Drosophila melanogaster: one gene and its partners. The protein of the gene in region 2 interacts with the protein of the main gene of each other region in a pairwise test. Each region holds a gene or a part of one and is shown on either strand. Other genes may lie near its edges.

Region 1 (6,668 bases), on a different chromosome or scaffold from region 2:
CATGTTACTCGACGTTCATACCCACGGAATCAGTGCACTTACATGACATGGCATAATTTGCTCCAATCTTTATTTACAACAAATAATAATGGGCAGATCCACAGCAATAATAACAAATGGTTTTTGGAAATCGAAGCGTTGCCACAGGGCTGGGTAAGTATTTGCGTTTTAGCTGGGTGGCAAGGCTAACAATCAAAATTTAAAATGTTAATAACATTTATTTTAAAGACTAGAACATTGAACCAGTAATTACAAAATTATAAAAACTTTTGTCAGCAAAGTTAACTTTTATATTTTTTGTTTAACTGAGAGATTATGTTAGTCGATTCGTCTTTAATTTCTGGTAACAGATACACTGTTCAACAGTCAAAGATTGGGCACTATAACATTTTAAAGACGAATTGTCGTACTCAAAATATTGGCACCTCCACGGCGTTTCCAGTGTTGCTAAACACGGACATAAAGTAATGCAGTTCCGTGCATAACACCCAGACTTCGCGCCAAATTCGAAAAAAAAGTTTACAACACACGCTTTATTGCGCCTAGAATAGCCTTGTATGTACAAAAAGAGGAGAAAGGGAATAACAATATTATACGTAAAACAGGGTCCGTTACATACTACTAAACGACTGGTGCCCATGGAAGCAGGAATGATTTGAAGCTCTCATTGACTAAATGGTACGATTGTATTTCTTAACGACGCGATCCCAAGCGAATCTAGAACAGCAGCGAATACAGTTGACCTCCAATGCGCCGACACACGTTTGAGACCATATATGCGCCTGCAGAGATAGTCACGAACAGCGTCAACCATCCCAAGAACGTAAATTCGCCGACCCGGGGTCGGATGTGCCGCGACAGGCCCAACCATCCGCCGTTGTCGATCAGCCAGTAGACCAGGTCGTCCTCTATGATCTCAGCCAGACCGTCAATCAGGCACTGTAGGTAGTCGAAATGTCCCTGGCGCACGCAGTCTATGGCAAAGCCGCCGCATACGGCAAATATCGAGATTATCTTGCCCCAGGTGATGCTGGAGCGAAAAAGATCCTTGGCAACTAGGTTGAGCAACATGGGCGCCATGTCGCTGTCCTCCAGCTCGCCAAACGGGGCCCTCGACAGCTGTCGCGATATGTTTGTGTACACCCGCGGGTGCATCCGCTCCAGTTCCTCGCCCATCTGTGGATTATACCATGTTATGAAAAGATTCAATGGCGAATGGCAGTACACTCACGCTGTTCAGTGCCGGGAAAACTTCATAGACCACGTGCGAGGAGCCGGGGTCCAGGATGTTGCGCAAACGCTGTGTCACCTTCCGGTTGAGGACTCCTGCCCGTCGCAGCCGCGCTCTGATGTACTGACCACACAGACATTTCCCCTGGAATAGAACGACAAAGCCAAAAGTTCAATCACAATCAAATTAACTACAGTGCTTTGATCATTGCCAGGCAATTTCGCTCCATCAGCGGGCCACTTAAACAATATCAATCGACTGCCTCGAGTTTTCCGGCGAACATGCATATGTTCTATTTACGTCGCTCTGAATCCGTTTACAGGATTCCGTAGACACCTGGGCTATTTCAATCACACCTCTTACAGAGTATCTAAACATGCAGCCAAACTGATGGCAGGTGCACATGGCGGTAATAAACTTTGAACAACGACTTAAACAAAAGAAGCGATCAGCACGTGCTGTGGAAAGGCATTAAGACAACTAAAAATTTACTTATGGAATCTGAAAGACGCGAAACGTTTGGCGTAATTAAGGCATTCCCCACCATGTTGCGTTCAATTCCGACCCATTTAGTTGCAAGTTTCCTTCGACAATTTATGTCGCACAATTACCGTTCGTCACGCCAACGATTCCGCAGCCAAGTAAACAGACAATTACTCACTTTGGAGCCAACTTGACTTATGACATGGCCAGCCAAAGAAATCAAGCCCATGCCAAATCACCGGCCTTGAAGCTAGTGTCTTGAAAAGTCTATCGAAGCTACTCCGAACCCGTCCAGCCTCCCAGCGAAATATTAATAAATCCGTCAATTTGTTTACGTGATCTTGTTATGGCGAACACTTGTGCGCCCAACTCTTTCCTTTTGGCGGGTTTGGTGCGACCAAATACCATAAGATTTACTTGAATGGCCAGAGTTCGATGAATTCATCACCTGAGGCTTTCGGGTTGTATAGTTAGTGGTCGGTTTATTTTTGGAATACTTGTTTATAATGGTTCCACCCGTGGCGCTTTCGCGGTTCTTCCCTTTTCTTTAGTTGCTATTATTTTCCTTGAAAACCTCTATGCAGCCTGGTTATGGCCCATTCCATCTGATTTGTCAGAGAAAATGGCGTTTACTTTAGAGGACTGCATTCTGAGAAAACTTCCGCAATGCGCTTAATGATAAATTCCTCAAGAAGTTATCAGCCCGGCGAAAGCAACCACATAGGCAAATATATTTAATAAACACTTTACATGTCGCTCACCTGGAGGAGCGGAGTAAATAGTTTTATCAGTCTCAGATAAACGAATGGTGGAAACAAAAATATTTGCCTTATCAATTAAGTTGAGACAGTCAAGACCCAAATGGTGGATAGCAGAGATTCGGATGGATCGTCCTCGATCAGAGCCATCGAAAATTAGTTGATACCGCAAACAGTTCTGCACATTAAATTGGAATCTGTTTGCAGTTGTCTGTTCCGTTTCATTTTGGCAATTTCGAAATTTGTCCACGAAATTAGGCAATTTGTTTGAACAGCTTTTTCTTTTAGTTTTGTGTTGTGTTTCTCATTTTGCGTACTTGCTGAATATTTAATCACCAAACTGTTGTATTTATATGTATGTCTCAAAAATCGGTTTTAATTATGTGCACATGTTCCGATGCATGACCAGTTTATTTTCTGACTCATTCTATGTTGATAACGTTAGATATTACTTAAAATAATTTAAAAAAAAAACATTGAGTGGCAACATAAGGCTGGAATAGAATAACTATAACAACTAATATATATAACTATTATCAAGGTTTTTAACTATTTTAACGCAAAACTATATATTTAAATGTGGGTTGAAACCGAGTCATGTTTAAAATAATTACACCTTAAAGTAAAGCACATGTCCTCAACCTCTTAAGAAATTTAAGTATTTGTGTTGATTAAACTTTTATATCACCAGGCGCATTGCTATGAACTATAAGAAGTCTTATTTATCGAAGAAGTATCTATTGTAAATTTCAACATTAAAACAATGCATATGAGCCCTGAAAACTTGTCAAAAGAATATAAATTATTTGTAACAAAGCCTTGACCGCTAAAGTTCATAATGCTTTTAAAACCACTTGCAAATTTAATTTGTATTATCTTGGCTTAGTTTTTCTAATTTTCCAACCGAAATGACTGTAATTGTATAATTTTAGAGAATTCTGGCCTATAAGGAAGACATCTGCTTGGTCTGGACCACATACATACATACATAGCTGCCTCTATGTGTACGAATTGGTCTTATATTTAAGAATACCCATCGGAATTCTAGAATTCTGCAAAAGATTAAAGCTAATCCAAGGCATTCAATAGTTCCTTGCTGAAACACTCACTTTGCTGGTGAATATCTCCCTATTTAACTTCCTTGCAATTCCATTGGCTGAGTAACACTCGTAAATTTTTTTGAACATATGCTGAATCAGACGCTTACTTTATAAGGCAACAGTCCCAGCATACTCTCAAGACTTCAACTAAATAATTCCCAAATTGTCCATAGCAAAGGACGGAGCCACTGGTCACCCATTTCTGGTCCTCACCTGGTTGATGATATCCATTTTGTACTCCTGGTAGTTAGTCATCGTGCGCGTACTGCTAGCCAGCGAGGATGTGGAGGCGGCCCGTGTCATGGGTCCGCCGGCGTGAAGGGAGCGTCCGTTAGAGGGATTGGGTACGCTACCGGGTCCTCCTGCTCCTCCACCGACGCCTCCGCGGAGCGCCTTCCAGTCGCTGGAGGCCGTGGCAATGGTGCCGCGGCGATTGGCCGTGTAGATCTCGTGGTCCAGCGACGAGGACTTGAACTTGGCCAGCTTGGGTGGCGGACTGGTGGTGGGAGCCATGGTCGAAGTCGAGGGCAGGGCAATGCTTGGCTGCCCGCTATTGTTGCTGCTGAGGCCTTTGTTGGCGCTGCCCCATGTGGGTTGTGTAATTCCGAAAGCCCAGCCCCGCGACTTTGCATGCACTATGCACTCGGAGCGGAGCGGATCGGATTGGATTGGATGGGATCGGGTGTGAGCGGTGGGGAGCGGTGGGCAGCGCACGAAAGGGGAGCGGAGTGGATCAGCTCACCTCGACGCAGCTGAGGCTCAGCTCGTCTTGGGCTTTTTTGGAGGTGCTCCGATTCTGATAAAATGGGCAAAACAAAATAAAAGTCGGCGACGAATGTGGCGAGCAAAGCGCAGGGCAGCAAACACGAACGAAACGCACAAAGAAGAGCCACTAAAACTTGTTGCTGGTGCCGCGATCCCAGTTTTATTTCACTTCATTTTTTTTTCAGCCGCTCAGAGCTTGCTTTCTTTTTCGCCGCGTTTAACCGAGAGCTTAGTATTCTGAATTTCAACGGGCAGTGGGGAGAGGGAATCGGCCTACCACCCTCTCCGTTCTATCTTCGATTCCCCACTTTCACGGTTACGGTTCCACGGGTTCCACGGTTCTCCGATCAGCGATCTAGGTTCTTTCGAGTTCCCGTTCTCGTTCTCGCGAGCGGCGCTTGTGATTGTGCGTTCGTTGTAGAGGTGGAGAAACATCGATGTTTTTGAAAAATCATAAACATCGATGTTTTTCGAGAAAACATCGATGTTTTTCCATCTCTACTGCGCATCGGAGAAGAAAAGTGTATGAATTGTAAGTACAAATTAATTTTCCATATTTTCTAATGCAATTATTAAAAGCATAACATAGCACATGGATTAATATCTGAAATGTTAGTTTTGAACTCCCGATTTGTGCACTTGCAGTTGCTCGTATGCATACTGGTTTACTTTTCCATTTAATTGTATTAATTTGTTTTATAGGAGCAACTATTGGACCAGCGGCTGATGAAAACGGAGACGACAATAAGTTTGTTTTTCTTTTCTTAAAGTACTGCCTTTTTATTTAAGCAATATTAAAAAATAATCATTAAATTAAGCAGGTAAATTTTGTTGTTTTTATTTTAAACATCGATGTTTTTCGCCAAAAACATTGGAAGCTTTGATGCCCGCCAACATCAATATTTCTCCACCTCTAGATTGTGCATTCGTTGTGTTTTCGCGACTGGCGAGCCGCGGCTCGCTGGGAACCGGTTCGCGGTAACGGTTTCGAAATAACGGCTTCGCTCTCGAAACCGAATACCGATTGCTTTGATATAATTGTAAAATGGAAACCAAATTTTTTTCACCAACGATGTATTACTCTGACAACCATTTGATTAACTTCTCAAGATATATTATACTTACTTTCGGATCTAAAACTGTTATGGAACCAGAAAGCTATTGCCGCCAATTTCAAAACTGTAAGGGAGCGATCTCCAAACTGCTAAATGTGATGTTCAAAAACTTAAATATTTTATCACTAAACGATAAATGTCCGTAGGCTTCGATCTATGATCTCAGATAAGAGATGCAGGCATCGGTCGCCCCTTTTGGAGGTGATATTACTCGAGGAGGACTTTCGTTTCGTTGGATCAATAAACTAAATAATTCAATAAAATGGAAAAAATACCGACTTGTTTCAAAAATGTAGTTGTAACAGTTTTGTGCATTAGCGATTGCATAGCAACGTTCTCAAACAATCTTCCACAGTCGTGTGTAGAATCTGCTTGCCAGATTGACATGGCCAGACCGACTCGGTTAGTTATCCTTTTTTATGATGAGTAACGTGTGTAATTAAATATTCTTTATAATGTTAGTTTGCTGAACTATCCCCACATTTAGGATTAATCCCACCTTGAATTGCTTACGCGTTCGTAACAAAAAGATAATTTTTTTGATAAAAATAACGCTGATACGCGAATTTTTGCAGTGTATCGGACTAGGACGATAAAGGTGTCGTTCTCGTTTTTTAAGCTTATGTAAGATTTTTTAAATGAATCTAACCGAACTATTGAATCAGATCAATCTAAGAAGCATCGTTCCGCCGGTTCCAAATCCGAATACCGACTATTTTGATAATTACCAATGTCGTATTACTTTATCACCCATTTTATTAACTTCTCAAGATATTTACATATTATACTTTCTTTCAGATCTGCAGTCCAACTTTTATCGAAACGAAAAGCTCTGGAATAAGCTTTTCGAGAGAACATCTTGCCGCCAATATCAAGACTGTGGGGGAGCGAACTACAAACTTATAAATGTGATGTTCGCAAATTTTGGATCTTTTATCTCTAAACGATTATTGTCCGTATTCTTCGATCTAAGATCTGAGATCAGCGATGCAAGCATCGGTCGCTCCTTTTGGAGGCGATATTACCCGTGGAGGACTTTGGTTTCGGATCAATAAACGCACATTCCGGTTGGGACCCAAAAGATTCCTTGGATAGGACCTCAAGGCTTAAAAGAAATTTGTTTGAGTCATTAACAGGTGTTCTTGTTATCAGAAGTTTTAAAAATGAGATAAAAAATAAACAGGCCAACTTTTGCTTGCCATATTTAAAAAAAAAG
Region 2 (2,898 bases):
CTCCGAGTTCCCAAGTCATGAATGAAGCAACGCCGGAGGCAACATTGTTGAATGAAGCATGCAAAAGATTTTCCCAATCGACGACGTCTCGCCATCTCTGGCCAAAAGTGGGTGGCACCGCCATTGTCTCCTTCTCCCCGCGGTTGTTTTCGTATCCACATCGTTTAATATTTATGCTCTGCCCATTGGAGGTGAATGCACGCGAGACGCGTTGGGCAAGCGGAAGACCAAGCAGCCAAGGGGTTTGGTCTATGGACTGGGACCTGGTCACGATCCGGAGATGACAACATATTTGATTGCCAGCTAAATTATAATTCTTGACTAAGTCTAGTCCGCCGAACGGGTCGATGTCCATGTCGCTGTCGATTGATTGATTTCCCATTGTAGCCGACCAGTTTGATTTACGGCCCAGACGGCTAATTGCGCATTGTTGGCTTGGTTCCAGGGTTAGATCTTGAATCTGGAATCTTACAATCCCACCGGGCCTGCCGACGGTCCTCCACTTTGGCCAGCTGTCCGAGGTTACACAACAACAACCGGCGTTGGCCGTTTTCAGCTGAAAATGCTTACATTTCCTTACAGTTTATTGCGCTTAACAGACATTTAACAATTAAAGGGGCGGAGGAGGGCGCGCCTAGTACTTCAGTTCCTTGGCCTTGTCGTGGGCTCCCTCGTCCAGGAGCTTCAGCTCCGCCTGCTGCTTCTCCGGTCGGATGACCGTGCAGTAGTGGTAGTAGCGCATTCCCAGGATGTAGGTGCCGTACAGGGTGACTCCAATGCAGGCATACACCGCGCCGCGGTGCAGCTTGTCCAGCAGCGTGTTGGTGTTAATCGGCTTCTTCTGCATGGCGGCAAATCCCTTCCAAGTCCATAAAAGTTTCCGGCAGTCGAGTCCGTCGCCTCAGCTGGTCTGTCAGTGATGACGGCGGCGAATGTATCGATAATTGGGCGTACATTTACTAGCCAAAATAAAGATGAAGACAGTCGAATGAGTACTATATTTTTAAGTGAATTTTAGGAAATCGTTCCAAATGTCCCATTTAGCTTTGAGTCTCACTCGTTTAACGTCGTTTTATCGTTAATCTCACTTTTAGCTACTCTAGCTGGAAAAGGCTTAACTTAAATCGCCGATTAATAATATCGCTGATCTCTGGCCAATCGATATACACCTATACGCACGTGTTTACAAATTTGTGTACTTCGTGGGAATATTTCATCGTATTCTACAACGCCATTGTGAAATAGCTGGACCGAATAGACCTCCGGAGGATTCATGGATCACGAATACGTTGGGGTTAGCCCGCTGGGCGCAGCGGACGGCAAGGGCGCCGGATCGAACGCCGTCATCCTGTGCTGCGAGTGCGGAGTGGCCATCCAGCCGAATCCGGCCAACATGTGCGTCACCTGCCTGCGCAACCATGTCGACATCACGGAGAACATCCCAAAGCAGGCCGTGCTCCACTTCTGTCGTAATTGCGAGCGCTATCTGCAACCGCCGAACGAGTGGATACAGGCCGCCTTGGAGTCCCGCGAACTCTTGGCCATTTGCCTTAAGAAGCTAAAAGGCCTGAAGGAAGTGAAGTTGGTGGATGCCGGCTTCATCTGGACAGAACAGCACTCCAAGCGCATAAAGGTGAAGCTGACTGTGCATGGGGAGATCATCGGGGGAACGATGCTCCAGCAGGTATTCGTGGTGGAGTTCACTGTGCAGAACCAGATGTGCAACGACTGCCATCGGACCGAGGCCAAGGACTTCTGGCGCTGCCTCGTGCAGGTTCGTCAGCGGGCCGAGAACAAGAAAACCTTTTACTATCTGGAACAGCTGATCCTTAAGCACAAAGCCCACGAGAACACTCTGGGCATAAAGCCGGAGCATGGCGGCCTGGATTTCTTCTATGCCAATGATAATCATGCCCGGCGCATGGTTGATTTCCTCCTGACCATGGTGCCCGGCAAGGTAACAACCTCGAAGCGTCTCATCTCTCACGACATCCACAGCAACAACTATAACTACAAGTACAACTGGTCAGTGGAAATAGCACCAGTATCGAAGGACAGTGCAGTTTGCCTGTCCAAAAAGCTGCGCCACCAGCTGGGAAATCTCTCGCCATTGGTTCTGGTCAACCGGGTGTCTAGCAGCATTCACTTGATTGATCCCCTGACCGCACAGATTGCAGAACTCACCTCGCAGGTCTATTTCAGGTGGGACTCCTATTTGACAAAGGTTATCTTCGAGTAAGCCAATTAAATTGCTTTTTTCAGAGCTCCCTTTGAGGCCGTCTGCAATCCCAAGCAGCTGGTTGAGTACGTCGTCATGGACATTGATGTGATCATGGAAAAGGATCGAAAGACCTATCCTGGTCAAGGGCAGGTTTCCTTCAAGCACGCTCTCTGCGACATTTGGGTGGTGCGCGCCTCGGAGCTGGGCATCAACGATAACCCCATTCACACACGCTCCCACTTGGGCCACCTGCTCAAGGTGGGCGATTCCGTAATGGGCTACAACACCGGAGAGGCCAACATCAACGATCTGGAGTTCGACAAATTGTCGTCGGATGAAATTCCGGATGTAATTCTTGTGCGCAAGCACTACGATCGACAGACCAGACTCAGTCAGCGCGTGTGGAAGATTAAGCATCTGGCGGCGGAGGCTACCGATGAGCGCAGCAAGTACGACTACCACGAGTTTCTTGACGATCTCGAGGAAAACGAGGATATCCGCGGTCAGGTCAACATCTATCGGGACACTAACAAGACGATACCAATCGAGGTACAGGCCGCTGGAGGTGATGTGCCCCAGATCACACTGGAGGAGATGTTGGAAGATATGACATTAGAGTGTGCAGACGACGAAATGGGCGAGGAGGGAGGTGCTGACGATACCGAGCCACAGTTGTA
Region 3 (4,982 bases), on a different chromosome or scaffold from region 2:
CAGGCATTATCCGAGAAGTGATCGCCACGCCCATTCACCAGGGCCGCCTGCAACTCGGAAGCGTTTATCTTTCCAGATCGGTCGCGGTCCACCATGGAGAACCATTGCTGTGCCTGCGGAGACACCTGGGCATTCTGCGGCGGAAATGCTCCTGGCGGCGGGGCATAGCCACCACCGGGCTGGGCATACGGGTTATAGCCTTGTCCCTGTGGATAAACGGTAGTAAGTACATTTAATCCACTTTCTTAAGCATAAACACACTCACATAAGACATTTTGTCACGAGCCTAGTTCGATTCTAATTGGAACTTGAGGGACAAAACAATTTTAATGAAACTACAGATGACAAGAAGGGCGTTCACCAACACTGGTTTGGGCAAGCGATAACAATGTGACATATCGATAGCATTGCTAGACTTATTGCTTGGCTATACTCCCATCCCTATCGCCGGTATAAACAACTAACAAAAGCAGCAAAACATTAAGCAAAAATGTCGAACTTCGTGAACTTGGACATCTTCTCCAACTACCAAAAGTACATAGACAATGAACAGGAAGTCAGGGAGGTGAGTTGACGGTTAATATCCTAAAAACCACCATCTTAAACCATTGTTTTTAGAACATCCGCATTGTGGTGCGCGAAATCGAGCATTTGTCAAAGGAAGCGCAGATTAAACTGCAGATTATTCATAGCGATTTGAGCCAGAGTAAGTTCTGTACAATTTGGTAGCTTGTATGTTTTGTTCTAATATGACATTATACTTGAACAATAGTTAGTGCCGCCTGCGGCTTAGCCCGCAAACAGGTTGAGCTGTGTGCCCAAAAGTACCAGAAATTGGCCGAACTGGTGCCAGCTGGGCAGTACTACAGGTGAGTCAGATGGTGAAATCCGTGGTGTCTATTGTGGGTGTCGAATGCTCCGCCTTCTCCAGATACTCCGATCACTGGACCTTCATTACGCAGCGTTTGATCTTCATCATTGCCTTGGTTATTTACCTGGAGGCGGGCTTCTTGGTCACCCGCGAAACAGTGGCCGAAATGCTGGGATGTAAGCTAGATTTGGAAGGCTCTCTGGATACGAAATAATAGTTAATTACTCCACAGTGAAGATCAGCCAGTCTGAGGGCTTCCATCTGGATGTGGAGGACTATCTACTGGGCATACTGCAGTTGGCGTCGGAGCTCTCCCGATTCGCTACCAATTCCGTCACCATGGGCGACTACGAGCGTCCCCTGAATATCTCCCATTTTATTGGTGACCTGAACACGGGCTTCCGTCTGCTGAACCTGAAGAACGATGGCTTGCGAAAGCGCTTCGATGCCTTAAAGTATGATGTCAAGAAGATCGAGGAGGTCGTCTACGATGTCAGCATACGCGGTCTGTCCAGCAAGGAAAAGGACCAGCAGGAGGAGCCGGCTGTTCCTGCAACCGAATAGTTTACTTCGTACGTAGGATAAGGCGTTTATTAAAATGAAAAAGTTTCATTTAAACAAGCAAATATATTACATTCATTAAACAGAGTATCATTTTATTTTACTATTTAAATCAGGAATGCTCGTAGGAATCAAATGTAGCAGGATATATGTATGTAATCCTGTGTTAAAAATCTGAAATGTGTTTTTGTTTTTTTTCAGAACACATTTCTTTACATCTTAATAGGCACCATCTTATTTTAATGATCAGTTTACACAGAAGCGAAATAGTGCTTTGAACCATAACAAAAAAACATAAGTTTGTGCAACTTAAAGGTAATTAAAATGGCTGTGCGCGTTTTGATTAAATCATAACTAAGTATACATAGAGACAAGTGCAGAAGTTTGATGGCTTAACCCTTTTGAAACTTGTTTAGCCACCACCACTGGGCCGCAGTTGTTGTTGTTGCCCCGATCATATGGTGGATTTGTTGCTGCTCTTCTTTGGCCGCTGCTTCCGTTTCGCCTTTGCTTCTGCTTCTCAGGCGCAGTTTCAGTCTCTCTTTTGCCACCGCAACGCTTACAACGTTAACATTGCGCGCGCGTCTTTGCATTTTCTTGTTTGCTGCTTCGTCGTCCGTCGTCCTTCCCGTGTTGTTCTTATTGTTTTTTCCCGCTTTGTGCGCTCTTTATTGTTTCGCCCTTTCTAGCATTTTGATTTGAAAGTGGAGACTGCAATTGGTTACCATTTCAAGAAAGTAAGTCTGGCGGGCAGTTGGCCGTGTGAAAAGTCCGTTGGCCCAGAAACTCACCCGCTCTCTTGACCACGCCCCCTTTTCCGTCCCCGGCCCGAAAAAAAAGCTAAAAACTGAGAGACTCCAACCTGTTTGGCAATAATTGGGTCACAAATCTGGTAAAAACTTGTTGCCCGAAATGGTCACTAAACAAATAGCACTGTTTTTATTACAAAACTTTAGTTGAGTCTGCAGTTGCCTTGTTGTTGTTTGTTTGTTTTAATTTTTTTATTTCGTTCCGCAGACATAGTTGTTGTTTGGTGTTTTTCAAAACACGCTTTAATCGAAGCGGTTCAAAGTCCGAAACAAGTTTCCTGAGAGGCTTAACGGGGCACGCTCTCTCCTTGTTGCTCTTTCCCCTCTTCTTACAACGCACTGAGTGGGAGGAGAGCGAGAAATACTGAGAGAGCTTTCGACGTAAACATCTGAAAAGCAAAACCACAACAGACACCCACACACTGACGGGCAGGTGTTGCTCTCTGCGTCTCTCTTTCTTCCTACCCCCATTCCAACTTTCTTGCATTCTCATTTCGAAGGGAAAATGCCAAGGAAAAGCCCAGCCGCAAACCAACAACAAAAAGTCAATATAATAAACCCAGAATCCGAGTGCTAACTGTTATGGAAAGTAGCGAAACCATTAGCTATGGACCTCCTTCATTGAGTGTTTTGCTTGCATACCCGGCAATTAAAGACTTGCAGGGTATGTGTATTTTCAATACATCAAAAAACAAAAAATAATATATAGAATATATTTTAGTATCGAAAAAGATTTAAAAAAAATTGAAAAATTTTAAAATACGCCCTAATATTAGTTGTATTCCTCAAAGTCATATTTTTTTGAGTATCGTCTACTGTAAGTATTCAATTAGTAGTGGGTATGTCTTGAGACAAAATCATTTTAGTAAGTTTGCTTGTTTATTTCGCATGGTAATTACACGTTTATAGAACTATTAACCTGCATTGAATATGGTTGTCAAATAAAAATATTAGGTATACCTTGTTATGACCGCTTTTAACGACCACACTCAACCAATAGTGTGTTACGTTTTTAAGTGTCGCAGTACTTCAGAAATGTTCACAGCACTTTTAGTTCAATAACTCATGTGAATCCATGTAATAGTGGATATCTTGTAGTCGAGTATCTCAAAGATACCCCGCTCGCTTTATCAATTTTCGTTGCGCTGGCCGCGGCAGCTGTGAATGATTTGCAAGGGGTCCCAGCGCAACTGGTTCCCAGCGCCTTTGTGCTGCCCCTCGGAACCCGACCCTCCAGAGCCACCAATACCTCGATCGTACCGCTCTCGTTAGACATGCGTGGCTGGCTGCCTCTGTCGTTCGCAGTCGCCGCACATTTCAAGTTTGCTACGGTTCAAAGTCCAAACCCAAGATACAAATACCAGCACCAGCAGCACCATTTCGTTTTCATCGCAGTGGTTATTTTAAATCGAAATTCTCCAATCTGGGCACACTTTCGATGGGGGGGGGGGGGGGGTTACGAAGATCCCGGTCGTGCGATAAGCAGACGACATTTATGCCAGGTAGACACTTCCAACGCGTCACCGATTGCACTAGGTTATTCTGACAGCAATCACCTCTTATCGGAACCGCGTGCTCGAGCAATCCTTATCAGACCACCGAAATTGCGTACCACTGGAGTTCTCACAGGCCCCCCGCCACTGCGATTATTGGACTTTCAACAATAAATAGTGAGCGATAGGTTTTATCGCCTCCCTCAATTGTTGCTTATCCCCGCCACCTCATTGGCCCGTTTTCGGTTATAGAATCAGATCGTACATATGTACATACATATATTTAAGACTTGTTTTTCAGCTGGTTTATCAAGTAAGCTGGCTAACCATAGTGATGTAACAGCGATAAGAACAGGTGTGGAGAGCCCATCTTCAGATCTCAAGTTGCTTACCTAAACCGCATGCCGATAAAGTGCCATCTGCGCAGAGGTCAGAGTCCACTTGCCGAATTTTAAAGCCTAATCTTTATGATATGAACTCTGATATTACCAAATCGCGCCGTCTGCAATCTCGAATATGAGTTATTTATGTTTTGTTTTTTTTTTTATAGCACAGCGAAAGATATATGGGATAAGCACCAAATACAATCTTATTTTATCATGCCCTTTAGACTTGAAAGGAATCTTATCAACTTACAGCTGTGTATGTAGATTTAAAATACTAAGTGAAATCTAAGTGAATTGTTACCCCTGTTTATTGTCATTATGTATTGAGCGAGGCAAACTAGAATGCTAAGTATATTATAGTATATGTGTTCATAGGCTCTCCACCTTAGTTTTGACAAGAAATATAAACGACTTTACATAATTGTAATATATATCTTTCGAATCTTGATAAGCCGACTGATAGGCGACCTAGATTCTTAGAAATTTGTCTAGCCACGTCGAAAAAGTTGAATTTTAAAAAACGCATTATCGAGGCTAACTGCGCATACCCCTCAAACGATGAGTACACCCATCTTATATACACACTTGTAGGTGTTTATTGGACCCAATCACATATCCATTTCGCCACAAGATAAGGCCCAATCGATCTGAAGAGAGCGAATTCCCGGAATATCGCCGGTCAATACACTCCACACGGGCACACACCCCCCACCACACACTCCACTTTTCGACGAGCCTCTCGACTGGTGACGCATCCATACCAATACCATACTATACCATACTATATCATACAATACCAAACTCTACCATACAATGTACCATACCAAAAGCACAATCGACTGTGGGCTATACTCGTAGTATC

Evidence for each region. Proteins that work in one complex are often made in the same cells at the same time.
Region 1: the proteins of CG17776 (region 2) and Debcl interact in a two-hybrid assay, tested with the Drosophila melanogaster proteins (one large-scale study listed by BioGRID).
Region 3: the proteins of CG17776 (region 2) and whd interact in a two-hybrid assay, tested with the Drosophila melanogaster proteins (one large-scale study listed by BioGRID).

The regions. Positions count from the first base shown.
Region 1 is NT_033778.4:6,646,696-6,653,363, reverse strand, and holds Debcl (death executioner Bcl-2), read right to left. Parts: upstream 4,711-6,668; 5' UTR 4,086-4,710; coding exon 3,786-4,085; intron 1,376-3,785; coding exon 1,232-1,375; intron 1,177-1,231; coding exon 718-1,176; 3' UTR 522-717; downstream 1-521. Other genes in the region: Opbp (Optix-binding protein), read right to left, coding at 43-49.
Region 2 is NC_004354.4:2,182,914-2,185,811, reverse strand, and holds CG17776 (uncharacterized protein), read right to left. Parts: upstream 1,088-2,898; 5' UTR 848-1,087; coding exon 635-847; 3' UTR 554-634; downstream 1-553. Other genes in the region: Nmd3 (Nonsense-mediated mRNA 3), read left to right, coding at 1,274-2,202, 2,263-2,898.
Region 3 is NT_033778.4:10,475,547-10,480,528, reverse strand, and holds the start of whd (withered), read left to right. Parts: upstream 1-1,961; 5' UTR 1,962-2,169; intron 2,170-2,223; exon of another isoform or gene 2,224-2,486; intron 2,487-4,982. Other genes in the region: Pef (peflin), read right to left, coding at 1-206, 266-274; trsn (translin), read left to right, coding at 491-565, 619-706, 773-869, 932-1,047, 1,104-1,435.